3 linked regions of the Zea mays genome follow. The main gene of each other region encodes a partner of the protein of the gene in region 2 in a complex. Links are inferred from orthologs where the notes say so. Each region holds a gene or a part of one and is shown on either strand. Other genes may lie near its edges. The genes, in order: cleavage and polyadenylation specificity factor subunit 3-II, IDP798 and probable cleavage and polyadenylation specificity factor subunit 1.

Region 1 (11,213 bases), about 9.5 Mb from region 2:
CACATTTATGTACCTAGAGGAAACATATACTCAGTTATGCTTTGGAAGTAAAATCAACTGTGTACACTTCAGAAGATTGGTTTAATACAGTCAGAGTGCATCTTCTTGGACGAAAACATCAGGAATAAAAAATATAGATACACTTAGTGAACTGTGTTGTGTGCCCAAATAATATTGAGCACATAGGATCCAAAACCTAGAAAATAGAGTAGTACACCATCGGAAAAGCATTGATTACGAAAATCTACAAATATATACACTGCAGGCTGCAGCAAAGTTCAGATTTTCATACCGCTTTTAAAAACTCCCTCTCTCGGGCAGGCTTTGAGTCACGTATAGATTTAGCATATGTGGACCTGAATAAAAAAGTAGTTAATTGGTTATGTATACAGGGAAAAAATCATTTGCAACAATTGATGCTCTTAATTCAAATATAACAGTGAAAAGTTAGGAAGCCACTACAACTATGGCACTATGCAACAAAGGCAGGTTGGTTGATTATCGCAGCATTATAAACTAGTAGATTCAACTGAGTAGCAAGTGTAATAACAAATTATATAGGTAATTTACAACCATAACTCAAACAATATTCAGGAGAACAAAGATTGGCTAACAACAGGAGCTGAGCAAAGGTCCACAGGTGGTCAGGAAAATATTCCCAAAATCTGATATCAACTAAGACGATCACACAATGATAAGTCAAATAGGTAAAACATGCCCTTTAGTCCCTGCTGTTATGCAGAGCAAGCACTGCAGCAGGCTCTCCAAGAAGAGCAGTGCAGGCATGGCATGAGCACAGCAGTAACACGCCTGAGACTGCAGCAAGCCGGCAACAGCTGCTTGACAAGTGGCAAGGTCTTCCGTTTCAGTTGGTTTGGAGTTTTGGTCAGTTTATTAGTCAGTTCCAGGATTGCTTTGACTTGTTAGTGGTTGATTTGTTAGTGCTTGGAAGCAGGAGATTGTTGAACTTGGTGTTTATCAACTGAGCAGATGTAATCGGTGGGACTTAGGCAACAAAATAATCTCTCTCCCTCCCTCACTATTCCCAAATATAGGGTGCCAAGGTGAATATGATTGACCCTCTACAGAATGACTATTGACTGCCATATACATAGCCGGGGTCCTCCTCTGCCCCATAAAACCTGTGCTGCGAAACCATAAGAAATAACCTATGGATATAATGTGGCATAAATCACAACAACACTAGATTGAAAATCCAAGTAAAGGCAACCGCAAAACAGAAATGTTTATAGTTTGAGGTTAGACCATACTCTGTTATCAATACATCCAACTTCAGACGATCAATCTGTGCGGCCCCAAGATGTCTATCTGGTGTCATATTGTAATCCCCAGTGTATACCATAGCAGCATCCCCAACTTTTGCATAAATCATGGCAGCCCCTATAACCTTGAGATTGACAATGGTTTTACTAGATTAGAAAGTAGAGAGCTAAATCAATACTTAAATGCAAAGTATTTAAAGAACACTGAGCAGAATGTTGAATGAAAATTGAAAAACAGTGTAAGAAACTTACATGTCCAGCATAATAGGCACGGATCACAAGGTCTTTATCTACTTGAACAGTCTGCTTCAAGTCCATTGGTGTGACTGAAAGATCAAGTATTACAAGAGGATTATGATACAAACTTACTTTTGCACCAGCATCAGTGTCTAAGTAGACAGGTACTAGAAGTTTCAAACTGAACTAACATTACCTTTCTTCATACACCTAAGAATATCTTCGTAGCTATATTGCTTTTCCTCACCTCTCTGACCCATCGTTACTTTCCGATAATCCTCGAGCATAAATGGAGCTAAAGCCTTTGTTGGATACTGCTTGAGGTAACATGACATAAGTTATGGAATGACCATCAATCATCAGACATATAGATGCTTCATATAAGAAGTGGGGAGACCAAGGAAGATAGCAGCACAAGCATATAAGCTAATAATGCAAGACCATTCCGCCCAAGCATACTTCTTGGATCAGAAGCAGGACAATCCCAACTTTAAACAACCCAATCAATCCAGGATTTACTTGAAGCCAAGTTTAGATAACAATAAGCACATTCTATATATCTCTACTACTTCAAAAGTATGCAGTAACTCAGATCCTACCCCACTTCGCTCACCCTCTACTTTATTGTCCCAGCGATCGTGAGTTCGCGACCACCTGCTCTGTTTTTTTTTCTCAGCATCCAATTTTTTACCACCTATACCTCTCTCTCCCGTGCCCCAACCCCCAATCTGCCAGCCTGCCATCCTGAGCCGCCATTCTAGCTGATTTGTCTGCATCACACTGCCACCAAACAGACTGTCCATGCAGCCGATCCATCCACAGCATCTTCTCATTCGACAATTACTGCATTGTGTCAACCCCACTGGACCACCACCGCACACATCCTCCTCCGCAAGCATTAAGGTGCTTGTTGCATATGACTTCCATGCAACAGATCCACTACCCATCTACCCATGGTTTTAAAGGCGGGAAGGTGGAACTAGGCGTTCAGCCACCGCCTGGACACCTAGGCGAATTAGGCGACAGCCTAGGCGACACCATACAAGCCAACTAATATTGAAGAGACCAGGAGAGAATTAAAGCAGGGACCGGGGGATTGAAGCAGGGACCAAGGGGAGATTGAAGCAGGGGCCAGCAGAGATTGAAGCAGGGGCCAGCGGAGATTGAAGCAGGGGAGGACGACCTCGAAGGCAGGACCACGCTCGCAATGGTGATTGGTGACGCGCCCACTCCGGGTGCCTGTTGCCGTGCCTGCGCCGGCCACCATTTGTTGTGCCTGCGCCGGCCACCATTTGTTGTGCCCGCGTTGGCACCCTATGTCGTGGCCGCGCCGGCCGCACTATGCCACGCCTGTGTCCGATGCCGCACACGCGCCCGCCTTGACATCGTGCCATGCCCGTCTGGATGTCGTGCCCACACCGTTGCCGGTCCTCAGGGACACGAAGCAGCCAGGGATCATACGAAGAGTGCCACGTCGTCGGTCCTCAGTGCCTCTCTCTCTCTCTCTTCTCCTCCCTAATCTATCCCTTCCTTATCTATTCCTTCCTTTCTCTTCCCGCACGCATGCAAGGCAACACGCGCCAAAAGGGGCAGGCCCCTCGCCCAGGTTTTTGGGGCTTCAGGCGCCCGCCAGGCGGTCAAATGCGACGCCCAGCACGCCAAGGTGGATGCCCTGTCAATCTGGGGCAAGGCAACGCCGACTCTCAGTCTTTTTTGGTGTCTGGACGCCTGGGCGATGCTTTTTAACACTGCCTCTACCACACAGCTGTCATCCCTCCCTTCATGCTCCGATAAGGCACAGCCATGTACGCAAACAAGTGCTGCCCTGCTCACCAACCCTTTCATTGAGTTGTACCACTCTGCGGACCTGATCAACCACCCCCTGTTCACAGCCCTGCCTCCCACTATTTCACTCAATCTCCTCATGTTAATCACCTAATGCAGAAACCCTGACCTCTTGATGGCCCAATACAGAATGAAGGGACATGAATAGGAAGGGAAGTGTTGTGATGGGCATTCACAGAAGTAAGGCAGGCCTGCAATCCTCCGCATTCATTTCATACATTATTCTCTCCATATTGAGTGTCGTTTGATTTAATTATTGCCTTCAATCAAGTTATAGTTTCTTGCTCCTCGATGGATAAATGAAGAGTAATAAGGCAGGATCTAGCACTTGCTGCCAAGACGGTTAAGAGACCACCATTTTCCCTGCGAAGGAAGGCCATATATGTGTTTTCTTCTTTGTTTTCCTGGCCCACTCCTAATAGTTTGCTTCCCATCAGACCATAGAAGAGTCATGCTGCGTGATTTGAATTTGAGGCCTTAGTGATTGATGCGAATCTGTTTGTCTAATTTAGATGCAGCCAAGAGCCCAAGAGTTAGTTTTTCAGAGTTAGTTTCTCGCTATAGATATTGTGCCTTTAATTAGAGTTGGTTTGATATGTTTTTTCAGATTTCTCTGCCTTTAAATGATTTCAAATGTTGTGCAGAGCATGTTTAGCCAATTTAGAAGACAATCAGGTGCAAAAAAATAGTTTTTTTTCTATGGATTAAATTCAACTGCATCAAAATTGCTTCATTATATTCATGGTTATGGAATATTTGGTTCTTCATATATCCGTATATGTAGATGCAGATATATACCATAGTTCTTGAAAATACACGGTTCTGGACATAGTCTTAGATATGTAGATGGAGTTATACACATACATACGATTCCCAAGCTTCTCTTCCTAAAAGTAGGTATCAGTTGCTTGGTCAGAGAAATATAGTCGTGGTGCCAGGGGGTTGATGCATTCTTCCTTGACAGATTTATAGTGCAGTCAGTTCTATGCAATTGGTAATAACAAAAATACAGCACTTCCCAGATACTAGGGCTGTACTCTACCCTTACTATCCAGCCCAAATGATATATACCCATTGATATGGCAATGTTGGCCATATGATTTCGCAGGTGATTTTGTAACTGGGTTTTGATATCACACATTTGTAAGTTTTGAGTGATTGTTTGAATGTACCATTCTAGCTTCTAGGTTAAAAATAAAGTCAATGCAATTGAATGCCATGAAGGAGATGTGAGTTTGGAAGGTTAGGTAGTGCCAGAAAGGATATCTTTCGTATTTATGATCAATGTTACAGAGAGACGGGGATATTGATGAAGATATCAACCATAGAATCAAAGCAGGTGGATGAAGTGGTAACAAGCATTTGGCGTTCTATATGACAAGAGGGTACCACCGAAGCTAGAAGACAAGTTTTATAGGACGGCAATTAGACTTGCTATGTTGTATGGTGTAGAACGTTGGCCTAAAAAGACAATATATTCAACGGATAAGTGTTGCAAAAATATGTATATTGCGTTGGATTTATGGCTATATAAGAAGGGATCGAGTCCAAGAGAATGATATACGTGATAGGCTAGGGGTGGCACCAATTGAATAAAAGTTTGTCCAACATCGGTTGAGATGGTTTGGATATGTCCAACGAAAACCTCCAGAAACACCAGTACATAGTAGGATTCTAAGGCACGATAGCAATGGAAAGATAGGTAGGAGAAGGCCAAAGTTTATATGGGAGGAGACAGTAAAATGAGACTTGAAAAAATGAAATATACCAAAGATTTAACCTTGAATAGGAGTGCATGGAAAACGGCTATCTATGTATCTAAACCTTGACTTGTGGTTTATGTTGAATTTCAACTCTAGCCTACCACAACTTGCTTGTTGTTAAATTGAACACCATCCAGACTCAACTGGAGCACAAAACTTCAGCATGCCTTGATCCGAAACTAGCTTGGTGCCTTAGTTTCATGCCCGAGTATGGCTCAGTCAATTTCAATGTGCTCCAGGAAGTTACTCAGATATTGCAAAGGGTGACTATGCTTGCATATTGCATTTTTACACTTACAGCTGATTTCATCTAAGAGACATGTCTTTGCGTTTGCTAAACCCAAGATTCATTCTACTATGATGGGCTTTAAATTAACCTGGATTTATGGTTTCTATGGCTTACAACGCTTTCTGGATCAATTTTGAACTCAACATGCTACTAGATTTTGTGCTTCACCATTAATTGTAATTTCCTATTGGCAAGTAACTTATGATTTTGTGACCATGAAAATAATTATGAAGATTTTATATACACAAGGTTATAAAGAATTTGCAATTGGGGGTTAAATTTTCGTGAAGCAACTTTTGTTAATACAATTTTCGTTGGCCATAGTAACACAAACAATAATCATGTGTTCATAGCTCACCGTCATGTAGATGGGGCCGTGGTAGCCGCAAACCTCGGTGAAGTAGGGCAGTGCCCCGATATGATCCATGTGGCTGCACAGCACAAGCTTCCTCAGCCCCCAACCAAACGCGAGAATCTGAAGAAAATTGCCAGCATAAAAAGAAAAAGGATGAAAAGCTAAAATGTTTATCTGCAACGCACAAATGCGTGATGACCACGCAGGAGATAGCGGTGGTGAAGTCGGGCGCCCCCCAGGCAGCGAGCGCGCGCGCAAAGTCCGGGTAGTGGCGGTCGTCGTGGTAGCCCATGTGCATGCCGCAGTCGAACATGACGCGCTTCCCGCCGATGGTCACCACCACGCAGCTCTTACCCACCTCCTGCCCCGCCCCTGCAATCACCAGCGCTAGCATGGTTGTAACCGAGCAGTGCGTTCGAAAAAGGGTGAAAAGAGGAGCGCGCTGCCGCGTACCTAGCACGAGGCACTCGATTGCCATTGGTGAAAATCCACGCCTAGAGCCACACTCTAAACGCTTTAGCAACCCATAAAGAGCTCCAACCCATACCGGAGCCGAGGTAATTTGACCACGCTTCAATTGGGAGTCAACAACTCAGGCACACACAACGCCGGAGGAAAGCTCAGCGCCGGAGGGGCCTGAGCCGCTCAGAGACGCTCCGCGCCGCCTTATCCTCCCTCAAAGAAGCTCTCTCGGGCGCCGCCGCCTTTCTCGAGAGGAGGAACCGGTGGCAGGCGTCGGACCGCACGAGCCGGCGACGGAAAAGATGGACAAGGGCCGCGTGGGGCGCGAGACGGAGAGGGCGGGGACAGGGCGGCTAGGACGGCGGCGGGCCCGCGAGACCGCGGCGACGGAGAATGGCGGCGCACAAGTCGACTCGAGGATGAAGTAGGGTGGCAGGCCGGGGTTTTTTTCCCCAACCAAGATCAAGATCGAAGGGAATTTAAGTTTTCAAACCAGTGAAAAATTTAGGATTGTATCATTAACAAAGTAGGTTTCGTTACTTTGGCACCGATCGAAAGGGCCTCACTCAAATGTCATTATAAAACTTGGTACAAAAGCTACAATGTCATTTCATCTTTTAATAAAATAAAAAATAAATAAGAGATAATGAGAGACTATTTGCTCGTAGCCTTCTTCTGTGACGCTGCCAGAGATGAAAACGAACGAAAAAAACTCTCTCATATTTATATTCCTGTATTTTATCATCGGAAATAGTCGGCAACAGAAATGGAAGGGGGTAAACGGAATGGGAGCAAAAATATTAAGTAGAAACTCGTAATTTATTACAAGCATACATGATATTAATGACTGACTAGCAGTGTAATAACATGAAACAAATAGATATAGAGAGACAATATTTCATTGTTGTTTGGGTGTTAATGGTGTATATATATATCTACGGTCGATGTTGTTTGAGCCATTAGACTACTTGCCATTGAGAAGAACCGGTGGCTAAAATGATCACTCACTTAAGAATATGAGGATTTAGTTTGTGCACTAATGCATATTAGGCTCATTCTAGATTTCTTAAATACGGGACAAATATGGGTTAAATTCGGGAAAAACGAGGGAGATAAAGGATCTCCTTATCTTACCCCCTTATGGGTTAAGAAGATGGGACCAATTAAGCTATTAATCCTAATGGTCTGTCTCCCCACTTCTCATCAAATCCTTTCATCTCAAGCATTTATATAAGAAATGTCAATTGGCTTTGTCATACACCTTTTCGAAATCGATTTTCAAAATGATCCCATCTTGTTTTTTCTTTTTTACTTCATGAACAATCTCATGGAGGGCCACAGCTCCATCCAGGATATATCTTCCTTTAATAAAGCCAAACTGGTTATCACTAATCACCTTAGTGATATTGTTTGTCAACCTATTGTTAAGGACTTTTGTAATAATTTTATAGCACACATTCAAAAGACAAATGGATCTAAAGTTCTTCATTTCCATATCCTTGTCTAGTTTAGGAAATAAAGTGACAACACCGTAATTTAATCTTTTAATGTCTAGTTTTCCTTTGAAAACAGTCTTCGAAAAACTTCATGATGTCCTTTTTTATGTTGTCCGAGAAGTCTAAAAAATCTGCAGGGAGACCATCAGACCCTGGGGCACTATTGTTTAAAGTTGACAACTACCTATTTAATCTCAGTCTCTATAAAAGGGACAGTGAGGAAATATCTGTCCTCCTCACTAATATTTTCCATGTTTCTATCTTCCGTGCAAATTGAGGAGATAGAGGAGGGACCAAACATGTTTTTATAGAAGTTAGTAGCAATTCGATCTTCCCTCTCCCTCTTCAACAATGTTCCCTTTATCTATCAAAACATGGATTCTGATTCTCCTTCTATTGAGGTTGGCTTTAAGGCGAAAATAATTTGTATTTTATCTCCTTTGATGAACCTCTCGAGCTCTCTATTTCATTTTCATCTCTTCCTTGAAGAGAAGTTTATTAAGCGAAAGCTCATGGTCTTTTTTTAGTTTTTTTCACTATCTGACAACTCGCCTTCTTCATTCTTAGTGTCTAACTCATTGATTTTCTTCAAAAGATCTTCTCTCCTTCTCATGTTTTGGCCTTCTTCATTGAAATTCCAACCCTTAAGACATTTTTTGAGTCTCTTAACTTTCTCTTTCCAGATGTTAAGACTTCCTTTACTCCTTATTGGTAACCCCCAACTCCTACTTACCAACTCTCTGGAATCAGGTTTTTTATGCCAGAGCAACTCGTATCTGAAAGTAGTGCCAGGTTTTGTCGTATCCTCTGTTTATCCCTCTAACCAGAATTGATGTACAATAAATCCCAATCATGGGTTCAGGGCTCACTAGAAATTTGTCAAGTTTTTCAAAAGTGAGAGGATTTCTGTTATTGGACCACATAAACTTCTTGTCAGTGAGATCTAACTCAATCAGACCATGATGGTCAATGATGGCATTAAAAAGAAATGACCATATATTGGCAACATAAGGCTTGTTTTTTCATCAGTATTTCTCAAGGTGTTAAAGTCGACACCTAGCAAAATGGGACCCTTACATTGGGAGCAAGTGGGAGCTAACTCGCTTAGGAAATTATCTTTGTTAACCGCTTGAGCCGCACCATAAACATTAACAAAGGTCCAAGAAATATTTTTAATCTTGTGATGGACCACACACTATCATTAAATCTTTGGTTTGAATATCAGAAACTTCAAAAGTATCAGAATTAAAACCCACCAGCAAGCCCCATGATCTACCGTTAGGGGGAGAAGAGATCCACTTGAACATATTACTACCCAAACTCTTTCTTATTGGTCTCTTGAAGACTAATGAAGTCAACTTTTTCTTTATTTATGAGTTCATGAATGAACTCAAATTTCCTGGGTTTGGCAAGCCCTTGGCAGTTCAATACTACCCCTTTTTATTCAGATAATTGACTATCCTAATGATATTGATTTAGGTACCTCCTTTTATTAGATGTGCATCTAATTTTAGGAGAACCTTCATTTTTTTTCCTCAGAGAATATTTTTTCTCTTTTTGTATCATTTTCTTCTTCTTCGGAGTTTTGTGTTTTTCCCTTCCGATTCGCTATCTATCATCTCTTGAACAATTCTATCCGTAATCAAAGGAACCTCATTCTCCAAAGGATTATTAGCGTGTTTATCACTAATATCAGCACTGGATACTAGCATAATAGCCCTACCATGTTCTTCTTCTAAGCACTTGATGGTCTCTAAGTTACCTATTATTTCATTATCGTCTTTTCCTAAATTCACTCCAAGTTTGTTAGCTATTTCAATCAACAAGCTATTTTCAGAATTTAAGATAGAGGATGGGTTGGGATCATTACCCTTGTTCAAGAAGGCATCCTTCGCTCAGCTCTGTTGATGCCTTTGTCCGTAATCCTGATATCTTCATTTGCCTCTGGTCTACTACTTTTCCTTGTGTCTTCAGCTTGATCCACCCATCTAGCTTTACCTTTGTTATCCTTAACAGTTTGTTGTTCATCTTGATCTTTAAGAATCTCACCCTCATCCATCTCCAATTCCTGATCATTAGCTATCTCCGCACCCATTTCTTTCACAAAGTTATTAAGCTCCTGAGAACAGAGGAGGTCTTCGTCACTGTCTTCAAAGTCTAACTCCTCATTGATTTTGTCCCCCAAATTTTACCCCTCTTCATTGCGATTGTTAATTTCATTGGTAGGGAGATCTGTAGAGATCATTGTTTCTTTAAAATAAGAGTCAGATTCTTTCTGATTTTTAGGAATCAGATGTCTTTCTCACTTTTTTGGATGTCACTTTTGGGTTTTTTCCTCCCTTGTCACCCAAATCAAACTCATTCAACTATAAGTCCACCGAGGATCTCTTTCTCATACTAGCTTCTTCCTCATTCCAACCTTCGGTTTCCACCTTGAAATAAATGTCATATAAGAGGTGCTTGACCCCTATCTCGATGACAGGCGAAATCCTTACGACGCTCTTCACATGCACTTTAAATTTAACCATGTCATTAGTTTTCAGAGAGGCCAGATCAACCTCTTCCACGGCTCCTATTATTGATCTCATCTCACGTATGGCTTGATAATTCAACAGTTCTTCGAGCACATTTTCAGCCTTAATCCAAACTAAATGTAATATGGATTTAGCCATAGCCTATGAGGTCAACGAAGTTACTACAATTTTAACCCCTGAAATCTTCATCTTCAATTTAGTAAAGTTGGTCAACTCATTAAGCCTGTCCTGTGATGGGAATTGCATCAGGAACCCAAGATGATACTTAGTAGTTTTCTAGGGGCGCCCCATGGGAAATGGAAGCTAAAGTCACTCTCCAAATCACCTGTAGACATCGTCCCCTCTACAATTTTGACTAAACCCAGCAGACTCCTCTTCGATTTTTTTTGGAAATGTTCTTTACAAACTGAGAAGAATAGAACCCTAATCCATCCGCTGCCAATCCCACTAATGGCATAATAGGTTTGTTCTGTTTTTCGCAGTTACATGGGTCTCTTTCATACAGATGTCACGCCATAGAGCCCTAGAATAGTCTCTGGCATGATGACATTCATCTCCACATTTTTGATAGAACAAATGACGACCTCCCTCAACCTCAAGCATCCCGAGCAGGATCAGGGATTTAGGGTTACCTGGGGTACTCCTGTAGCCAGATGATGAGTCGGTCATCTTTCCCTCAGATTTCATTTGTGAGGGTCGGAGTCGCCAGCTCATATTGCAGTGTCTCCCCCAAGAATTGGGTGAATTCCTCACCTCCATATGGTTCCACTGATCCCACTGCGTAAGTTTGAGAGCACCTAGAGGGGGGTGAATAGGTGATCCTAAGAAAATCAAGACTAAACAACACAAACCTGGTTTATAATAAAAGTTAGTGAGATCAAAACCAATATGTTGTGGATAGAGAGGAGAGAACTATTCACTTGATTGTTCCTTTAAAATATGTATTGAA
Region 2 (10,783 bases):
GGAGAAACCACTGCGGTTGACAGCATCAGTTCGAAAAGTGAAGTAGGGGGGGTGCCCACCTAGCCTCTCCAAGATGTCAAGGAAGAGACTCCTCCACATATGATACCTTCGACAAATGTAGAGTGACAGGCAGACGCACGGGTCAGTGAAGTAGCCTTGCATCAACTGGTCGGGCGGCTTCATGGTTGCGGTTGATGTACTTTTGATGTTGCCTTCTCAACATGGAAGACTCAGGCAAGTTCTACCGCCAGATGCATTATGTCTTCTTGCAGCAACTCACAATGGAGTAAGTTATTGTGATCCTGCTACTGTAAAAAATATGTGCATCATGCTCAATTAGGAGTTTTTTTGGGAAAGTTACGGAAGGAGATCCATCATTTTGCAATAAAAACAACATAAAAACCCTAGATAATTTCGAAATCAGGCCAAGCATCTTAATACATATGCAAAAACATTATTGACCCACCATTGATTACAAGATTTAGCTTTTATGAAACGCTATTGGTTTGGTACGAATAATTACAGTCGTCACTCAAGGAGTGGGAACTGCCATTCTGACCCTTCTTGGGGGATTCCATCCACAAACATAAAATTTATGGTTGATCGATATTGCACGTCATCATTTAGCTATTGTATTTATTTTTATTATTGAGGTCATATGCATTGAACTAACTTCAGAATTGGACACAATATCAAAGATCTTTTAGAAGCACATACTCCTCCGAGGGGTCGATTAGGACGTGGGCATAAAGGTCTTTATGATACAATCAGTAATTAATTTATTATGATTCTTTAGTTATTTATTTTGTATTTGAAATTTTAAGAATTTTGACTCATTCTAAGTATTTCTTATTGTCGAACCATAGCCATAGTCATAGTAATTGCACTTGTTAAAGAAACTAGAAGAATTAGGGAAATGAGTTCAAACGGAAGACAGTCGTGTGGGCGAGGTCATCGGCAGCCGGTCGTGGCCTCGCAGGGCCTAGAGATGCCAATGGATGTGATTTACCCACGTACCCACGGATAAAAAAAACCGTTGGACACGGTTTTGGGTACGAGCCTATACCCGTGGATACGGATACGGGTAGCATTTGATATCTGTGGATATTTTTAAAAGAGGTACGAAAAATCAGTATCCATACCCGAATACCTGAATATCCGTTAAAGTAACCTGACATGTGGGGTCACTAGAGTTTGGAACCACTTCACGGACCACAACCAACCCAACTGCCCAAGTCCCGTACTCCTGTCGCCACAAGCCTAGGTTGATCCAGCGAAGCCCTCGCTCTAGTACCCTCTCTTCGCCGCCCACTCCATCTCTCCCACTCCTACCGCAGTACCGCTACCGGCTACCGGTTGTCGCCGCCGCCACCACCCCAGTCCCCAGTCCCCACCCCCACCCTCCTCGAGACCTCGACGGCCAGCCGCCACCTGGCCAGGCGGCCAAGCGGCCACGACGACCACGGTCTGGCGCTCGACGGTCCCCACGTCGAGCACTGCGTAGCCGCGCAGGACATCGCCAGGACTGCGCAGGGTTTAGGGTTTGATCGATCTTCTCCACGCGACCACGTCGAGCACTGCACAGGACATCACCAGCTCGCCCAATAGATCCAGTTTCTTTGTAGGTTCTTGTAGTTTTTCAGATTCTTATAGGCTTTTCAGATTGGAAATACCATGATCCTGGTTACTTTTATCAACTCAATGACTTACAGCTACCATGGAAACCCCTAGTGGTGGCACTCAACAAGCCTCTACAACTGGTCCTCCTACCATGGTGGTGGAGTCCTCATCAGAGCAAGAGGACATACCTGCTTCGTCAGGATCAAAGAGGAAGCTCAGATCTGATGTGTGGAAGGATTTTGATCAGGTTGAAGTTGATGGAGTAGGGAAGGCTAAATGTAAACATTGCAAGAAGAAACTTTCGGGCATCACAAAAAATGGTACATCACATTTGCACCAACATCTAAAGTCTTGTATTTGGAAACCCCTAGTTGGTGGAAGTTGGAGGGAACTCGTTATCCCACTTTGAGGCTGGTTGCTAGAGACATTTAAGCTATTCCAATCACCACAGTCGCATCTGAACCAACTTTTAGCACAAGTGGCAGGCTTTTAAGTGACTATCGCAGTCGTCTCACTCCTAAAATGGTGGAAGCTTTGATGTGCAGTCAAAGTTGGCTTCGTCACACTCTTCAAGGTGAACTTTTCTTCATTTTTCCAATATGTTATATTTGAAGTATATAGATACTAATGTGCATGTGACTTTATTTTAGGTGCTGGTGATGGAAGATTCAATAGTTTTTGGTCTTGCCTTGAAGATAATGAAGAAGACATGAAAGAAGAATCTTGTGTGTTGGCTGCTGATTCTGAATAACCAGCTGGTCTTTGGTGTTGATTCTTGTGGCTTGTGTGTTTGTAATTTTATCAATTTGAACAATTCAGATTTGATTTTGCTAGACAATTTTATATTGCTCGTTGTATGCCTTAATACATGTATCAAATTTGATTTGCTAGACAAATTCTGTATGGTTGTAAGTTTTATCATATTTAAATTTGTCGGACAAATATGTTATCATATTTGAATTTGCTGGATTTAAATATGTTGTATGTGTAGTGGGCAAATGAATATATCCACGGATATCCGTTACCCGATGTGGATACTATTTTTTATTCGTAGCGGGTAACGGGTACGGGTTCGGATATCGAATATAAGTCGCGGATATGGGTGTCCAGAGACATTATTCGCGGATAGTTTATCTGTTGCCATCCCTAGCAGGGCCATGGTGGTCGGCCGTGCGTTCTAGCCGCTGGCTGTGACTGTGAGGCCAAACTTTGTTGGACATGTATACGTGGATGATTTAATTAGACCAAGACACGACATGGATAAATAGTGGGTCGTGTCATGTCCGCCCGTATGCCGAAGTCTGAGCTCAATCATGGTCCTATTAGTTTCAAATGAGCCGTGTCGGTCAATCGTGTTGTGCCATCGTGTCGTGTGGCCTAAGATCTGTCTCGTAACAGGGCTCGAAAATAACTTATTTTTCCCCTATTTTTGGTTGTTCATTTTCTCCATTTTTTTCTAACAGAACTCAAAAATAGATCTAAAGGGGTGATCGAGTTGGTCATATTTGTATATATGGTAGGCTAGATTAAGACAAGTAAGCTTAGGCCACAAATGGGTCGTGTTCGGTTTGATGGGCCATGCATGCTTAACATCGAGCTAAATAGGCCGACAGTAAATAGGTCATGCTCATGCCACCCTATGCGGTTGTATCCAAGCCAAGCACGACCTATGACATGTCTCGTGTCGGTCCGGGCACCGTACCGTGCCAAAATGATCGTGTCTCGTTTGACCCATATAGTCCGACCCATCTGGTCACCTATACGGACATATTTAGTTCAGCTTTTCTCAAAATCTAGCTGTCATAAGAATCTGCTTATGGAGATAATCTAAGTATCATAGAGATTATGTACGGAGAAAGATAAAATGGTACATAGGGTTTATGGCGTAGAAAGTAACGATTTCCTACTATTGAAACAGTTTGACCAATTCTATGTCTATATTAATTTTAGACGGTTTTGACTAAAACGATTTTTATAAAAACATGCTGAAAAGCTAAGCAGTTTCTGTTGTGCTTCGTAATGCGGTTGTGGTGGCCATATCGCGTAGGTAGATGATTGAAAATTGGATGCATGCCTCGAGGGACGAAAACAATTGGGATCGATCAAGATAACTATTCCATTATGATTTTTACATTTTATTTTGAAAACGGGACTAGTGGAATGACAAAAATGATAAAAACAAACGAAAAAAATCGATAAAAATTAAAATGGAACATAAAAAACAAAAACATAGCCGCATAGAGTATAGGTATTTAAGATATATTGATATCCATTCAAATCTTACGGTCATAGACCAATAATATTCGTATCTGATCTAAATCTAAAAAGAAAATATATCTAATCTAAATCTAAAGAGAAAATATGATACAAGCATTACCCATCTCCGATCTGATTGATTGCACCCCTAGGTGGAAAATAGGTGGACGCTTTGTCGTCGTTGTTTTTGTTCTTCTTTGGATGGATGCATTGTCATCGTTCTTGGACCACTTGGTAGTCAGCTTTGATGTTGATGAAAGAAGGTATCAAGGGGAAGAAGATTTAAAATATGCTCAACCAATTCAAAAAGAGTCAATACGATCAATATAGAACACATGCCCATAATGATGAAGGACGAAACAAGCTTCAGCATACTAACCACGGTCATCCGGAAACTGATGCCAAAACTTTGTCACGGTCATCCCACGCCAAATTTCGGACAACACAAGCCTAAGCTTGTGAAAGGGGAAACAAACAATGTAAAAACAGAAAACACCAGGATAGTCTTACAGTCAACATCTAATCTAATAATTTATAACCAATGTAAATAAAGCCTAAGCTTTGCCGTACGTTGCCTCACAGCAAGTAGAACTGCGAGTACAGAAGCTCCCTGATCTTGTAATAGTCCTCGCAGAGGGGGCCCTCGATGACGATCTGCTGGGACCCTGTGCTGCCCTGCAATATATATAATAATCGCATCACAGACGTATAATACCTTGTTTGGTATCAACAAACTGCATTTTTAGACGTGCGAAATCAAGGTTCAGAGTGGAGTTCTAAAAACTCCAAAAGGCTACAGTTTTAAGCAACATAACTTTCAGAACTAAAAGGATTCTTCAATCCAAACATTTCATATTGCTGCTTGAGGACCAAATTATTTTGCAAACTATGGTATTTCTAGAGCTCCAAAAAAAAGCTTTGCATCCAGAAAGGGCCTAAGTGTGTTAAGCCTCACACCACCGGGCAAGCCATATCAACTATGCTCGTGCAATTTTGTTGGTACAGGTCATAAAAAACTAAGGCATGTATGCATGTAACATAACAAGTTCTAAATCATAGTTCTTGAACTGGAGCATATCAAGTTCTGCCAAAACACGCAAAGGAGTATTGCTACTAAATGATGCGGAAGCTACCTTTAGGATAGAATCACCAACTTTGCGCACCATGATGTATTCGCCACACCGTAAAGCACCTCCGGCAAATTCAACCTGCAACAGCTCTTTCCTTAGCGACTATGTCAATGGTTTCAGTATACACCAACAAAGATTATTTATCCCTGCCTGCTTAATATTATCCAACCAAAAATCATATGCTGCACCTTTCATCAACCAACGCTTGTGCATGCATGTTTTTAAAGATGTCGATGCTTTAAAACTTTTGACTAATAATTCAACCAAAAATACATAGTTTTAGTGTATGCATTATATATTACTTAGATTTATATTCAAAAGTACTTTAATATGGTGTTCATTTTGTATTTATTGATGGCATATTTAAAAAATGGTCAAAGTTCCACTTTAAAGACCGTGCCAAAAAAATTATATGGCCTATTTTATAGGACGGAGTATAGGCTATGTGGAACTAAACAGCATGTGCAGGAAACAAGTGTCATCTAGTATGTCGCAGTATGCTACGGCTAGTGAAAGTTCAAGAACAAATTTCTTCTCAGCATACTTATCACACCTGAATCTCAACATATTTGATCCTCTCACGTTCAACTGAAAAATCCTACTAAATGAAATATTCATCTCCACTCCTAAAACTACAAGTTTGGATAATGGCCATATAGGTCCCAAGGAAGACACAAAGACTCACAATTCAATATAATAAACCTACCTGCCAGCCTTTGTTTTCCAAAAATTGTTTAAAATCAGACAACTTTAGATCACCCACAAGAACAGGCTTATGGGGTGGTGGTGTTGACGATGGGGGAAGCAAAATAAGCTTCTCATCTTCTTTTCCAACTTCTGCATCCACCCAAGCAATTTCATGCTCACCCAACTGCAGATCATGCTAATGTTAGTGGTTTCATAACAATGATTCGTAATCAAGTAAGTGCATATAACAAAGTACAGTGTTTAAAACCTAACCGTTTCAAGGATGAAAAACATGTTACTTGCCTTAAAAGATCTATAGGTATGGACAACTTTTTGGCATGCAAAGCCTTTGAAGTTCAATAATCAATGCAACTGGTTCGATATTATTTAGAGCTAGCAACTGAACATGCAGTAACAATCAATACAAGAAACACTCAAATCAACAAATGCCATATATGGAAGGAATTTTGCAATGAGCATTTTTTTCTATAATAAACCCAATTGGTTTGATCTGAGGGCTAAACTATACAAAAGAGAAGTTAGACCATTGGATTGTCATAACAAGGTTCTTTGGAGCTTGTTAATAACAACAGAAAGAATGAATGATAATGATTTAGGGAAATATAGCTCGTACCTTCTTAGAAATGATGTTACTCATTAACTTCTCCGAAAGTTGTACCTGAGATATATGATATGATAGCACAAACATCACAAAGTTAAGCATATGGAAGGTTGAAGCAATATGCAACATACCAACTGTGCATGATGCGGTTATGTCAGGAACACAGGCTCCTAGGTAATGACACATACACAAGGGTATTATTGCTGCCCACTAGAAGACCATAGTGTTGATAAAAAAAGGGCGTACCCAGTGCCGTAGACTTCCCGCACTGTGCGGGGTCTAGGGAAGTGTATCTTTAAGCGCCAAGCCTTACCCGCATAATATGCAGAGGCTGGGGCTCGAACCCGGGACCTTCCGATTACAGACAGTAGGCTCTACCACTGAATTGCATAACTTAATTAAATTTAAGTGATTAGTACATGACAGGGGTTTGATTTTACCTCATTTGTTCCAACAATCAGATAAGTAGCACATTTAGTATATTATAGGTTGCCTGACCTTCATGACCTCCTAAGCAAAGGTTCTACTCGGTACTTAAAGAGAGTGTGTAGTTAAGATGCTAACCTTATAAGCACATAAGTCTGATGTTACATCAATAGTTTCCTCAATCTGTGGAGCATAAACATGCAAATCTAAATTCTTTGCGCAGTGCATTTTCAAATGTTCAGTTGCTTCAGCTGATCCATGCACCAGGATCTGCAAAAAGTAATGCATGATTCAGCATAAGATAACAACTTTCTATGTACAGGTCAACCATTAACCACAAGGATAACAGTACCAGGCCACTCAAATTTTGTGCCAACTAATCAAACAAGCAGCAGGCACTTTCAATTTAAATAAAGTTTTGCAGTGGCATGTCATCCCAAAAAATGCTTAGAAATGGCATACCCTACCATCTTTGGTGTCAGACTCAGTACCACAGATATTTAAGTAAATGGAATTGAGGAGAATTCAAAAGGTTATCTTTGCCATGGAGAAGTATAACAGTATGTGTGCGCCAAAGAAAGAATATGCTCCAGAAAGTAGCATTCTTTAGTTTAAAGTGTAAAATCTAAACCATGCACGCACAAGAAAGAATATTTCAAATTAAATTCACATACAAGTTTCAGTGGAGCCACGTGAGCAATAATTGATTTTACAGAACGCCCATCAGAGCGACCTTCAAAGTCCATATAAACCAATGAGCATTTCACTTGAACCTGAAAAAATGTTCAGTATACCGGCGCACGTGTAAAATTTCAATCTGTATATAGACATATATCTAGCTCTGCAATTGATGCAGAAACTAATGAAAGAAAACAAGGAGGGAAAAACTTACAGTCATCTCGTTGGAAATGACTTTTGAGGGCGTTGAATCAAGAAGCAGGCGTGCTGAGCCATCATCGATCCTACCATCTAATCCATCTCCAGGGCCCTGAAGAATACATGCTTGTCAGAACCCAAAATAATTCAATTGATGGTCGTCTTATACCGAGTTTCATGTATTTCCAGTTCTGTTCAAAACATCTCAGTTATCACAAAGGAAAACACAGAGTTGGCTAATTTGATCCAATGAAACCACCGTCATCTTCCAGTCAATGCAACTCAGTGTTATGAACAATAACTATATCTGACAGACAGGTAATTTACATATGATCAACTTTAAAGACTCAAGAGGCATGTGGCCACATGGGTGTATAAGCAAACTTACAAGCATCAGAGTATTATCCATTTCTTCTTGTTTCATCATATAATCATCAGGGTTGATGACCTCACCAAAGTCGTCCCATTCAGCAGTGTTTTCAAAGAAGGGAAACATTGGAGCAACACTGGTTAAAGGAGGGACAAATCCATCTATGAGAATATCATTGTTCCCACCAAAATGTGAAGCTGGTAGTGTCACAAAGTAAAGAATGATAGTCAACTATACATAACATGTCACATCAAATAGAAATAAACCTTACAGCATAAGTTTGTAGAAACTAAATGGAACGGCAGAAATGTTAGCATAAGCATTGTCTTGCCTACTTCAATATAGTTATCTATACTACTCTCTATTAAGAACCTAATATGGGCACATGTTGCTACCACGGCTTCACCCTCCCCACGCTCAGCGCGCGCAAAAAATAGTGCAAAGCGAGCACTCTAACTCAAGCCGACTGCTCTAGAAAATTGAGGTTAACTATCAGACCACACATATTTTGATGTTTAGAAATAAACAATAATTATATTTGTAGTCTAGTCATCGTTCCACCCGCTTCCCCACCCCGTTGCAACGCACGGGCATATAACTAGTAATCATGAAGAGTGACATCAAACTTGATCAAGCCATTGTCTGAAGCAAGCAGAAAAAAAGTAGAGCTGAATCAAAGAAACAGCAAGTGTACTCTAGAACTCATTATCGACAGATATGCCATATTTAAGGTTGCATGTAAGTCATTTCAATAAAATATTTTATGGTTGCATGTGTGGTAAGTTATGAGAGAGATTAACATCTAGGCGTGTTATACCATTCACAGATTTTCGAGATGAGCTTGCATCAATGACCATTGGCTCAGAAGCCTTTGTGTTTGATCCATGAGAAGCCTTTAGCTCCTCTTCTTTGACAAGGCTAGCCTTTAGCGATTTCTCTTTTTTTATCCGTTCTTGCTCTTCTTCATAAGCCTTTAGTTCATTACCCACCAAAGGAATCCTCTTGCTCATAGTGACCTTTAAAGCTTTAGGGGGTGGGTCCACTTGGAGCATTCGAGCCAGTGTCCCAAACTGGAGAGCAAATATTTTCTGATCAGGTAGTTGTATAATGATACTCATGCTTGTAAGTGAAAGAACATTAGGATTAAAAGAATGGTAGTTTGATCAAAGTGAGGCTTCATAATCATATTCAATTTGTTTAAGTGTGGGCAAGCACTGTCAGCACTCAAGCAGTCATAATTCGGGAGCTTAAATACTTCCTGTGGCATGTCATTTCAGATTGCTAACTAGTGAGAGCATGTGAAGATTGATGACAAGAGCAACACACAGGAATGTACCTGTCCCTTCTCAGTAAAGAGCACTAGATTTCTTGCTTCATTTGCCATCTCCACAAATATGTCATGAGAAAAGCCAACCTCCAAACTTGCCATGGATGCCAGAACCACCTACTAAATAAGTGTTTAGTTCAAGGTTCCAACAGTATAGTAGAGAAAGAGAAACAGATAATTATGCTACCCTAACCTTTGGAGCATCTCCCAATTTCTCAAGCTCTTCTTTGTTAATTATCAGCGTGACCTTTCTGCGACATTGAACATCAAAGGTTGTTAATAATAGAATCAGATCAGATGGACCACAATTTATTATTGAAAACCTGTTCATTTAATACAAATATCCAAAATCTGAGGGGCAGAATTGGTTAAAAAAGCTAAAAGTACAGGTCAAATGTAGACTTCTAAGTTCTAATAACTGAACAACTCAGATGAGAAAATATAAAACTGTGACTTCATTATATGCATTAAAAGAGGATTTGTAAGTGAACATAGCACAAAAAGAACCAACGAAAGGTTTAGTTAGAACTTATGTTTGAGGTCATACTTTAACAAGAAGGCATTGGCTCTACTGCTTTCAAAAGATTTTGCAATTTGATCACCCATCCATTCAAGAAAACTCTTGACATAATCAACGGTACTTGTCGACACATTTGTCAGGAAGTAGATAGGGTACTGCAATCGCCTTTCATCCCAGTACTGTAACATAACAAGACGATAGCACATTATTGAACTAACAGGAATACAGAGTCCAGCAATAGTGTCAGAGATTTTTACCATATCCAATAACAAAAGAAGTTCCAACACTCTACCAGCCGTGTCAACAGGAAGTAGCACACTTCCACCAGTTGCCAGAACTTTAATTAATGATTCTGCATGAAAGATGATGGCATTAGACGATGGTACAACACCATGGCTAGGATGCATCACATATCTATATAAAAGGTAAAAACCCCATCATTTTGGAGCTCTATAAAAAACAAGAATGAACTTCATCATGAGATGACAAAACTCAGATGCTAGAACTTAGGAATACTGCTTAAACTGCAAAAGTCTAAAGAAACAGAATAATAAAAGCAGATACAGTGCCAAGTAATGTACCAATGAAATCTTGATCCTGCTTTTTTCTATAGCCTTGGTTGTTCAAAGCATTGTAAGCATCAGTTATCAGAACAGCTGGCCGCACGAAAGATCCAAGAACGGTGCCATTCAAATGCCTGGGAAAATACAACAATTTTGGTATTTTATGCCTAAAACACTAAATTAATTCTGAAAAAAAAGAGAAAAACTAACCTCTCTTTCCGATGGTTGAAGTCAACAGCATACACAACATCCTCCCCATCTTTTGTAATCTTCCAAACTGTCCCCCCCAAAAGATGCCCAGCCACATGTGGAGCAATAACAACTCCTTCACCTTTATCTATCAAAAGATATTATGTGAGCAGATGCAGTGTAGCATGCTAAAACAA
Region 3 (11,113 bases), on a different chromosome or scaffold from region 2:
GGAGGCTCAACGACGAGGAACTGACGCGCGTATTGGGGGAACGCTTGGACGGGCAGATGGCGGAATTCCAGCAAGACCAAGCGTATCGTGTCCAGGAGTTGATGGCAACTACTTCCACTCGCGTGGCAGTGCTGGAAAATGTGTCTTCCGTGTTTGAGGCATGGCGACCACGCATCGAGGGTTCCATTGATTCTGTCAGGTCTTCAGTCGACACCATGCGGTCAGAGCTCGCCCGCCTCACTCAGCTCCTGGAGGGCGGCATTGCTGGAGAACATCAAGCACGTCCGAGCCTCCTGGGAGCGTACGTACCTGTGGTGGAGCGGCCTTCTACGACCGCATACAACTCCGACTGGGCCAACGGCCACCGCAACGCTTGTCAACCTCGGGAGTATGGAATTGAGAATTCCCAAATTCCAATCCATCTCCCGAACAATGGTATGCATTCTCCCTACATTCCCCAAACTCATGATACTAGGCCAAACCGGACGAGTTGGGATAACCATCCATATACATCTGATGCTATGGGGGGTAGTGTTCAGGATCCTAATTTTGCCAGGAATTTAGGGAACCTACCGAAACTCCATTTCCCATCATTTGACGGTGGGAATCCCAAGTTGTGGCAAACTAGATGTGAGGACTACTTCCTTATGTATTCAGTGGACCCCCGTATGTGGATCAAGGTTGCTTCTACACAGAGGGGTCTCTCCGTGGGTGAGTATTGTCGCCAGATGAAAGGCATGGTGGATTCTCTCCACGGCCTCGACGAGCCCGTCGCCGACCGTACCTTGGTGTTGAACCTTCTGCGTGGCCTCAGCCCCCCGCTACGGCCACCTGAAGGCTCTCATCAAGAGAACTGCTACCTTCCCCACCTTCCACGCCGTTCGCAACAAGCTTCTCCTCGAGGAGCTCACCATGGAGACTGAGACACTCGCGCCCACTCTCTACAGCAAGCTTCCCGGTGGTCATGCACCTGCGGGGGGTCAGGCCCTTCGCCCTTCGTCAACCGGGGCTCCTATCCACCCTCCCCTTGTCGTCCCTGCGGCCCCTCGTCTGGCTCCCACCACCGACGGAGGTGTCGTCTCCGCAAGGGTTGCTCCACCCGAAGTGGTCCCTCCAGTCAGGGTGGCGGCCGAGCGTGGCCGTTGTTCTCCATGTGGCCGAGCCAGGCCCCGGGTGCCTCCCTGCCTCGTCCTCCTACGCCGGCCCTCCTGACGGTGTCCCCCTATGGCGTGCCTCCGACGACTCCGGCTCTGCCCTCGTTCCCGCCTCTGAGGACCCCCACCCCGACATCTTGGTCCCCGCTGACTGGAGGGTGCGACTCAGCCTCCCTCATCGCTGCTTTCAGCACCATGGTGATGACACCACTCCCCTCCGAATAGGTGGTTGACTCTGGTGCATCCTACCACACCACCTCCACCGCGGGTACGCTTTCTCGCTCCCATCCCCCTCTCTTCCCATCCCTCCTCGATCGTTGTTTGGAACAGTTCCACTCTCCCGGTCACCTCAATAGGTGCCTCGGTTCTCCAAGGACCGTTCTATCTCAAGAGTGTTCTCGTAGCTCCACATATTACTCACAACCTTCTTTCCGTTCGTCGGTTCACCGCCGAAAATTCTTATTCCATTGAGTTTGACGCTTTTGGTTTCTTTGTGAAGGATCTAGCCACCAGGACCCTCTCGCACGATGTGACATCTCGGGGCCCCTCTACCGGCGCGTCCTCCCCACCCATCCTGGCCTCCACCATCTCCTCTACCACTTGGCATCGTCGTCTCGGCCACCCAGGACCGACGTCATGACCAATCTCACCAGTAGTTTAGATATTCCATGTAGTAGCGGGCATTTTGAGGGTCTTTGTCATGCTTGTCAGTTAGGTCGCCATACTCGTCTCCCATTTACTGCTTCCGCTCGGGCTGAGCAGGCTTTTGATCTTCATTGTGATCTCTGGGCTTCTCTTGTACTGTCTTTCTAAATATAAATACTACTTGGTGATTTTGGATGATTTCTCTCATTTTCTATGGACTTTCTAGCTTCGGTTGAAGTCCGACACGTTCACCACTCACACCCACTTCTTCGCCTGGGCCTCCACCTGGTTTCGTGGCCCGGTCCATGCCCTCCAGTGTGACAATGGCCGCGAGTTCAACAACTCCGCCTCTTGCTAATTCTTTCTCTCCCACGGCGTTCAGTTGCGTCTCTCATGCCCTTACATCTCTCCCAATAATGGCCTGGCCGAACGCATCATTCGCACCACCACTAGGCGGTGAGCCATGTCCTCAATCGCCTCCCCTCGAAGGCGGTGAGCCACCCCACTCACCACTTTGCCCTATATGCACAGCCGCCTCCTCCTATGACCACCTTCATGTTTTCGGTTGTGCTTGCTATCCCAACGCATCCTCATCTCTTGTCACGTTGTTTTTGACAAAGATGTTTTTCCCCTTGCTGGCTCCTCCCCACCTGCCGATCTCGACTCCCTCCATCAGTCTGATCCTGTCCCTCCACCACGGCCCCTCCCGATTCAGACACCTCTCACGCCTCTACCCACGCCACGCGCGATCCAGATGCCCCGGCTCGTGCCTCTACCAGTGCCACACACAGCCAAGACACCACCGCTCGCACCCCTACCCACGCCACGTGTGACCCCGTCGACGAGCGGTGCGGCCCCGTCGTCTGCCCTCGCCTGGCTCGCTTCGACGACCCCACCATCGTCTACCACAGTCGCGAGCGGCCCACTACTTCGGTCACCGCTACCCCTCCGGCTCATTCCCACACTAAGCCGTTGGTGTACCACCCGGTAGCCATCCACCGTGAACCCAGCCACATTCACCCGATGGTGACTCGTCGGGCGGCCGGCGTTCTCCGCCTCGTCGAGCGATTGGTCCTGACGTTCGACGCACCTCCGAACGCCTCACCAATTCCATCCTCCGTTCGCGCCGAGCCTCACTAGCGTCGCACCATGGAGGAGTACGTGACCCTGCTGGCCAACCACACTTAGGACCTGGTGCCGTTTCCACCAGGCACCAACGTGGTCACCGGCAAGTGGATCTTCCACCACAAGCTAACCTCTGAACGCCTCACCAATTCCATCCTCTGTAAGGAGGGTTTTTGTATCTGGGGTTCTTTCCCCTTCCCTTCTGATATAATATATTGGAGTGCAGTTCTCCTGCGCTTTTCGAGAAAAACAATAGCTTACAAAAAAATTATACTTGAAATCGATCAATATCCAACCTGTAAATCGCCTACATGTTGCATTATAATATTTTTATACTTGAAAAAAAAATCTTAAATACAACATCAGCGTAAGAATAACAAAGACATTTTTTAATAAAAGCTCAATTTTCTAGAGATGGAGTTGAGTTACAAGCCAAACACATCAAAATATTGTTCAATTCTAGAGAAGAGCTGCTCTATGATGGAGTTGGTAGAGCAGAGTTAGAGTTGGTGGAGCAAAGTAGTCCCAAACACCCCCTATATTAAGAACCTCAATCGGAGCCTCGACCAAGAAAGGTCACGAAAGCTACCCCCGTGCAGCATGAGGATGTGCCCCCTACAAGTCAGATTGGTACTCATGCTTTGAACCCTTCCAACCCCTACACGAGGATCCCCCCCCATAGGTCAGTCCACCATGTGTGCACACAACTAAAGGAACCAGCGAGTGACCTTTTTTAACCTCAGTCTGAAATTTGCTCCCACTGGGATTCGAACTCAGGATCTGAGTGCTACTCAGACCACCTAACCAACTCAAATGAAAGCCCCTTCGTGCACCACATATAAATAAAGAGTATTTACAATACTTACAATGTTCAGGCTCACAACATGCAATGGTGCATCATAGAATGCAACGGCAGTCAATTCAGAGCCAGTCCATTTATTCAGTGTGATCTTAGGACCAGAAGCTATCAGTAGATGACCTTGAAGAGCGGCAACAGCAGATACAGCACCTTTGCTCTCTTTTGAGTAGACTTCGGTAACCTGAAACAAATTAACAGGTAACCAGATAAAGAGTGTTAGTTGAAATGCCAGTAGGAAACTAAGAAATTTTTATCCAAAGAAGTCCAATAATGCTCACCAGATTTTGAGAATTTTCACTTTTACTGAAAGAGAACAGAAGCACCCGTCCTCTAGCAGCAACATCCTCCCCTTGAACATAAGCAGTTCCAATGGCCATCAGGGTTTCATTTTCCTTCGTAGATGTGTTCTGAGGCGAAAATCAATAATATTCTGGTAAATAAAATTTTAGTTTGAGTGCAGTATCCATACAAGTGTAGAAGACATACATACTTGCAAGGTAACGATGCGCACTGTTAAAGCGTTTTCAAATGATTGCATCGGAATGGTGGACCTTGTCTCCCAACGTCCATTGGATTTTCCCAACTCCATAATACGAACTTCAAATTCATCAACAGTATAGACCTCTTGGAGGTCACCACCACTTGTAACATCGTTCTCCATGTGCAGACCCAATTCTTGATCAGCCATAGAAGAAAGAACTTGATTTAAGGGGCGAACCTGCTGCAGTAAATGAAACAAAAAACCTTAAACTATAGAAATCTATCTGTACATAGATAATCCTTACAAACACAATAAAAAATCAGTACATTAGTAAGTAAACAATAGTAAGAGCATAAGGCAGTACATAAGGGCGTACCCAGTGCCGTAGGCTTCCCGCACTATGCGGGGTCTGGGGAAGGGTATCTTTAAGCGCCAAACCTTACCCGCATAATATGCAGAGGCTGGGGCTCGAACCCGGGACCTTCCGGTTACAGACGGTAGGCTCTACCGCTGCACCAGGCCCGCCCTTAGTACTTACAAAAACAAACACAGTATACAGTACTTACAGGAACTGACACAATAAGCGGATAAAGTGACTGCTCTCCATAATATGTGACCTGATGTGGAGTGCCATGCAAGGGGACCTACAGATGTGCAATAAAAAACTTTTGTATAAGAAAAACAATGCTGCAAATAATGTTAAGGTAAAGCATGTGGACATGAAGATTAACTTTACCTTTTGAACAGGCCAGTAGTTGTCATAGTTATATGCAGATGGCAACTGACATATCTTCAGAAAACCCTGAACCCATAATTCATAACTTCAAATTCCAAAACAAAAGCAATATAATATTTTTTGCAGGATGCAATATAAGTATATAAACACCAGGTAACCATATTTGTATATTTCACAATGTTTTCTGCTGATTGCATTCCGCAAAAAAATAAAATTCTAGTTATTGCAACGCTTAAACTCCCACCATTTGAAAGAATTAATAATATTGTGCTAGTTTATAGGGGCAAGGGTGGTCATTTCACATTGGAACTCGTACTTCCTTGGTAAGTGCAACTGTGTGATGTGGACAAACACAAAGAAGAATAGAAAGTATCATGTTGCAAAAGGAATACAAATGGCAGTTTACCTGAGATGTCACATAAATAAGGCCACGGCAACAATTGACATTGTGGAGAACAGTAAAGGCTACAATTGGACCGTCGCATAACTGCAAAATTTAACTGCTTATAGAAGAAGAAAAATAGAACAATGGTTGAAGTTGTATGTAAGTGCCATTTCTCTATAACCTAAAGAGACACACCCAACTCCACTAGTAGTATTTATTAGAAAGTGCAGCAGGGCCTGTCGCCTGGCATATCTGCTGGCCGGCCTGTATGGAAGTCTTAGCAGGGCCTGTCGCCTGACATATCTCTAGCTATATCTATGCCAATACATCCATACAGGCCGGCCGGCAGATATGCCAGGCGACAGGCCCTGCTGCACTTTCTAACAGTATTCATATGCGTTATATGTACCCTATCATAGGCATTTGAAACTGAGAAAATAAACTACAAATTCTGACCAATTTAGCATTATGTTCAGTGGAAGAAGCCTAAGAGGATGGGTCATCAGGATAGACCACATGACAGAAAACAAATAATAAGAATAGTTGAAAACATCCATTTAAAAACCAAAAGAGAATTTTTTTATGTCTTCAGATTTTTAGAATAAAAGAACAATTCAGCAGAGTAACTGAATAGGTTAGGTACGAAATACTCAACAAAAGAATGTCATTGTTTCCTAGCCATGTAAGTATATTGAGAGAACATTATAAGATGTCTGATAGAGGAAAGAGAGAGCATAGCATTTTGCATACCTGTGGATGCACCCGAAATCGCTGTCGACAAACAAAAACCCAGGTTGGCCTTGGGCCACCAAGAAATAATCCCTCGTAACCTCCAACATTGTTGAAAATTGTTATTCTTGGTCGTACAAGACATGATATGTCATCTCGTGATGAGATATCTATTGAAACTCGACAAAATCTCAAATTTCTGAGTCTTGAATCAGTGGCATTGCCAATATCCGGTGAACCACCATGAGGTGAGAAAGGAGCACATTGCACATTGCTTTCTGAGCCTTCAAAATAATATGCGTGATAACACAACAATGTCCCATCATTCAATAATCCAAAGAGGAATGGCCGGCTGAACTGCCCAGACCATCTATGCATTGCAAGCTCAACTATCTTAATGTTTGCTGCTTCCTCTTTCTTCACAGAAACTTTAGAAGCATCTCGATCCCCTATTCCAGAATCCTTAGTAGAATTACGAGAAAACACATCAAACAAGATAGCTGGTCCAGAAACAAAATTATCCACAGAGAACACACGTTTAAAACTGGGTACTTCAAAAATTTCCAGTTTACCGCTTTCATAACAAATTATGCAATATATATCAGACAGGTCGTGAGAAGAATTGTCATTATCATCAATAGCCTCTCCAACATCAGTGGATAACCATGCATCAGTATGGGTCTTTCTAAGCCATGGCTCAGGTCCTCTGTCACAGTATAGTGTACATGCTGATATCCGCTCACTTGAGCTTGCGAATATGGCAGGAGCATTTATAGAAATAGTACAGGTTGAAGGATCTGCATCAAAAAGTATAACATGTAATCAAGTTTCAAGCAATTGGCAATGGCAAACAGTGTTCTTGAGGCGGTAAGGCGAGGTGAGGAGCTAGACCACCGCCTTAACGCCTAGGCAGGCAAGGCGAGCAAGGCACTAGAATTATACGAGCGCCTGGACGCCTAGACGATGCCTTAAAACACTGATGGCAAAGGCAATGGTCACAAATTTTGCACGACAGATCACTTAATAAAGAATCTAGATTGAATTGACTAGCATGTCTTCTATTTAACAGTAGACGAATTCTCAGGATCTAGGGAAAGCATCTAGTATGTTTGTGTGAAACCATTTTTTGGTGTAATACGTGAACTTCCCATCTGCACCAGAAGCTAATCATGTCTAAATTTCATTGAGATTAGCAGGTTAATACTGAATAAAGAGATACTTAAACTTCCACAAACATAGAACCCAATAGATTAGTGCACAGTTCCACACATATGTTTTAAATTCAACTGCATGAAAGCACATGATTGCAAAGCTCTATCTTCAGCATTTGGGAACTCTCATGGCAGATTCTTTTTAGTATTTCTAGACCAAGGGTCAGGGCGGTCAGCAGAACTCCAACCGCCACAACAAGAAGGGTGGCGTGAACACTGGTGGGAGTGGTCAGCATGACCAGCAGCACCAGGGGAGCAAGCAGCGCAACTACACTTTCCACACTCTCCAGACCATGGGTCTGCGTTGGTGCTCTGCGAGGCCAGCAGCAGCACAGTCATGGCCTCGACAGCAGCAGCCAGACTGGTGCAGCCAGGGTATCCTTGGGCTTGCTCAACAGCCCCATACAGCCTCCGTGCCTATGGGAAACCCTAACCCTAATCAGGGTTGAGAGTGCATTAAATAGTCCAAGTAGTTGGGCCAAGCCAATTACACAGGGATAGTCAGGTAATTACAAGAGGACTCAAGCCAAAACACTAAACGGGATTCTAACACCCCCTGTAGTCTCAACTCTATACTGTACAGATGTTGAGACTGGATCGAAACTCAGTGAATACACTCGACGACAACCCCTAGGTGAAGATGTCTGCGAACTGCAACGTGGTCGGGATGTGTAATGTCAAGAATAAGTACCGGCTAATGTAAATTATGTTATTGTAACTCTTTCCACTTTTACTCTGAGGTTGTGTAATATCTGTGATATGAGATGTACGCTCTTGGAAGATGTTGAAGAAGATGCAGGAACCAGGCCCTGTCAAGCTATTGGGTGCATCTATATGACTGCCTAAGGTCCTAGGGACAAGTACAGCTGTAGGTGGGCCTAATATCTTGGGAGGTTCCGTGACAGCTAGTATCGGAGCGGCGCCCATTTCTTAGGACATTACTTAGTGCTTCAAAAGGTTTTTTAAAACTACTTACCTCTGAATATTCTTTCATTAAGTAGTCGGGCAAAAGAGTGCATATTACTAGGTTATATGTAGGGAGTAGAGGATCAATAAGTAGTTGATTCCATGATCGTAGGATCATGCATGCATCATGTTTAAATAATACTAAGTGTTCTCCCATTTTATAGAGACATGGCACGCACAAAGACCACCCTTCGAAAAGCGACTGGACCTCAGGGTGTGCCCCGACATCAGTTGGCTCCTCATCATGAGGGGAGCAGCAGTGAGAGTAATGATCCCACAGGAGACTTGGAGGCTAGAGTCGAGCGTCTGACAACGGAGTTGCGCCATGGAGGTAGGGGGCGCGTGCGTGCTAGTTGCCGCATCGCTGAGTTGTCAGGAGAAGTAGAACGTCTGCAGCGGAAGATTGTAGAGCGTGATCAGGCTATGGACTGGGTTGTGAATTCGCGATCCATAGCCTAAGATCGTGATGCGACTACCCGAGCCCGGGTGGATGAGTTAAGTCTAGCCTTGGAAAACCTGCAGGTGCATGAGTTATATGACCAGCTACATCCAAATGTGCCACCCGAAGTTGCAGAAATGGGTGTTGGCGCAGCGGGAGCAGGTGAAGGAGGACCCTATGGAGAGTTGAACATCTTTGGAGCCCCTCCTTCTATGAACATCGTGGATGTACGCCCTCCTGAAGCTAGTAGCGGATCTGGAGCGACCAAGAATGCGGAGAACTAGACTAGTATAGTAGTGGGTTGTTTCCTTGCTTAGACCTAATAAGGAGAGTGGGTTTGTATGGACTGAGTATGTATAATAAGTAAGAGCATGGAATAATGTAACAAATGTTGTGTAACTGTACTGTGTAATAATAAAGCGTGTTTTTCTTCTCCAGATGTCGACAAGGACCCGTGGTCATGATGGGGTAGGGACTTCTTGGGGTAGTGGGGAGGAGACCCCAATCCCACCGCCTGTACCTCCAACTTTGGCGGAGGCCATTGCTGCCCTGCTTAACGCTACTGCTGACAATACCCGGTTTCTCCGGGAGATGGCAGGAAACCAGATCCACCAGCAAGGAGGTCGAGGCCAAAATAAAGCTCCAAGAGACACTACTTATATGGAATTCTCAGAAACTCGTCCCCTGTCTTTATTAAAGCAGAAGAATGGAATTCTCACAAACTCGTCCCCATGTCTTTATTAAAGCAGAAGAATCTCTAGAGGCGGATGAATGGGTCCGTGTGATGGAACAAAAATTTGGACTGATCCGATGTACAGAGACTCAAAAGCCCATGTTTGCTGCTCAACAAATGTGAGGCCCCGCTAGTACATGGTGGGCAAACTTCGTAGACATTCAGCATGAAGGTCATCTTATCACGTGGGCAGAGTTTAAACTAGCGTTCAGGGAGCATTTTTTTCGAAAACGTAGGAGAGTTGTGTATCATTATATTAATAAGAATAGGTGAGGTAAAAGAAACCTCATACAACTCTACACAAACCCACATACACTAGATTATAGGTAGAATAATAACAATAAAAAACAGCTAGATCCATGACCATGGAGACTCCAAAATAAAGATTACTGATTGGTTCACTGGAGCATAAGGATGCTGGATAAATCACTGGTTCCAACCCTACACCAGAGGTGAGACTCCTCCTTGACCCAATTGATGACCATGCTGGAACTAGGTTGCACACCATTAAATACACAACGGTTGCGGTGATTCCAGATGGCCCAAGCTCCAAGTATGATCAAAGAATTCAAGCCCTTGTGCAGCCCATTATATGCTGAATCAACAGAAACTACGTCAACTCCTTCCCACCAATCCTCAAAGGAAGAGTTCTCAAGGTTAGAAGCAAGGTGCTGCAACCCGACAGATTTCATAATCTGAAACCAAACTTCCCGAGACAAAACGCAGGAGACTAACAAATGGTTTAGCGTCTCTTCCTCTTGATCACACAGGGGACAGAATTGAGGGTGAGGCAGTCCTTTCTTTGCTAGACGGTCTGTTGTCCAGCAGCGACCGTGAGCTTGAAAGCAGCCGGATATGCTTATCCTCTTGATCCGGGTATAGGGCCCAATCTGCAGTGAGGTCCCAAACATTGACGAAATCAGACAAAATATTTACAGTGATAGCTCCTCTTATGTCCTGCACCCAGTTCCTTGAAGTGAAGGCATCGTGGACACTCCTCTTTTTAGCCCTAGAAGAGACCAACTTGACCAGATGAGGGGCCAGCTGACTTTGGACTCTGGCCATCGATCCATTTATCTGTCCAAAACAAGGTGTTTTAACGTTACCCACCACCGAAGAAACCGATTCCGAGAAGAAGGCCTTAACCGAAGGGTGAGCATTTATTTTAAAGGATGTCCAAGGCCTGCCAGTATCAGTTTTTTCAGCCAGAGCCAGCGCAATCTAAGAGCCCAACTCATCATATGTAGGTTTAAGATACCCAATCCTCCAAATTCTTTTGGTCTAGTGACCTTGTTTCAAGCTACCAAACAATGTCCTCCCATAGCTTCTTTCCTCCCTCTCCACAGGAATTTTCTTCTAATTTTGTCAATTGCTTTGATAACACACGAAGGAAGGTTGATGGCCATCTTTAAGTAAATAGTCATTGAGGACAGAATAGTCTAGACAAGAATCAATCTTCCAGCTCTAGTCAGCAGATCGGCTTTCCAGCAGGGTAGACGATTTGCAATTTTATCAATGAACGTTTGGAGGTGCAGTTTATCAAGCTTTTTTAAGGATAGAGGCACCCCCAAGTATTTGCAGGGGAAGTTGGCAACATCGCATGGCAGCAGGTTACGTATGGTATCAAGTTTTTCAACAACACAGTGGATG

The links.
Region 1: IDP798 (region 2) and cleavage and polyadenylation specificity factor subunit 3-II share a complex: the UniProt entries of both Arabidopsis thaliana proteins name them as parts of the CPSF complex. The link is inferred for Zea mays from reciprocal best matches to the Arabidopsis thaliana genes CPSF100 and CPSF73-II.
Region 3: IDP798 (region 2) and probable cleavage and polyadenylation specificity factor subunit 1 share a complex: the UniProt entries of both Arabidopsis thaliana proteins name them as parts of the CPSF complex. The link is inferred for Zea mays from reciprocal best matches to the Arabidopsis thaliana genes CPSF100 and CPSF160.

What each region holds. Positions count from the first base shown.
Region 1 is NC_050098.1:223,886,157-223,897,369, forward strand, and holds the start of cleavage and polyadenylation specificity factor subunit 3-II, read right to left. Parts: upstream 6,805-11,213; 5' UTR 6,251-6,804; coding exon 6,226-6,250; intron 6,145-6,225; coding exon 5,958-6,144; intron 5,849-5,957; coding exon 5,776-5,848; intron 1,835-5,775; coding exon 1,717-1,834; intron 1,610-1,716; coding exon 1,536-1,609; intron 1,409-1,535; coding exon 1,272-1,408; intron 357-1,271; coding exon 293-356; intron 14-292; coding exon 1-13. UniProt on the Arabidopsis thaliana protein: Component of the cleavage and polyadenylation specificity factor (CPSF) complex that play a key role in pre-mRNA 3'-end formation, recognizing the AAUAAA signal sequence and interacting with poly(A) polymerase and other factors to bring about cleavage and poly(A) addition.
Region 2 is NC_050098.1:233,402,604-233,413,386, forward strand, and holds the end of IDP798 (Cleavage and polyadenylation specificity factor subunit 2), read right to left. Parts: intron 10,735-10,783; coding exon 10,608-10,734; intron 10,532-10,607; coding exon 10,416-10,531; intron 10,187-10,415; coding exon 10,092-10,186; intron 10,014-10,091; coding exon 9,862-10,013; intron 9,566-9,861; coding exon 9,508-9,565; intron 9,432-9,507; coding exon 9,324-9,431; intron 9,058-9,323; coding exon 8,805-9,057; intron 8,185-8,804; coding exon 8,006-8,184; intron 7,730-8,005; coding exon 7,634-7,729; intron 7,515-7,633; coding exon 7,416-7,514; intron 7,012-7,415; coding exon 6,880-7,011; intron 6,373-6,879; coding exon 6,328-6,372; intron 5,878-6,327; coding exon 5,713-5,877; intron 5,085-5,712; coding exon 5,010-5,084; intron 4,552-5,009; coding exon 4,453-4,551; 3' UTR 4,200-4,452; downstream 1-4,199. UniProt on the Arabidopsis thaliana protein: CPSF plays a key role in pre-mRNA 3'-end formation, recognizing the AAUAAA signal sequence and interacting with poly(A)polymerase and other factors to bring about cleavage and poly(A) addition. Required for antisense-RNA-mediated gene silencing.
Region 3 is NC_050097.1:87,238,870-87,249,982, forward strand, and holds part of probable cleavage and polyadenylation specificity factor subunit 1, read right to left. Parts: intron 6,912-11,113; coding exon 6,136-6,911; intron 5,488-6,135; coding exon 5,407-5,487; intron 5,067-5,406; coding exon 5,001-5,066; intron 4,909-5,000; coding exon 4,831-4,908; intron 4,505-4,830; coding exon 4,274-4,504; intron 4,191-4,273; coding exon 4,062-4,190; intron 3,965-4,061; coding exon 3,791-3,964; intron 1-3,790. UniProt on the Arabidopsis thaliana protein: CPSF plays a key role in pre-mRNA 3'-end formation, recognizing the AAUAAA signal sequence and interacting with poly(A)polymerase and other factors to bring about cleavage and poly(A) addition.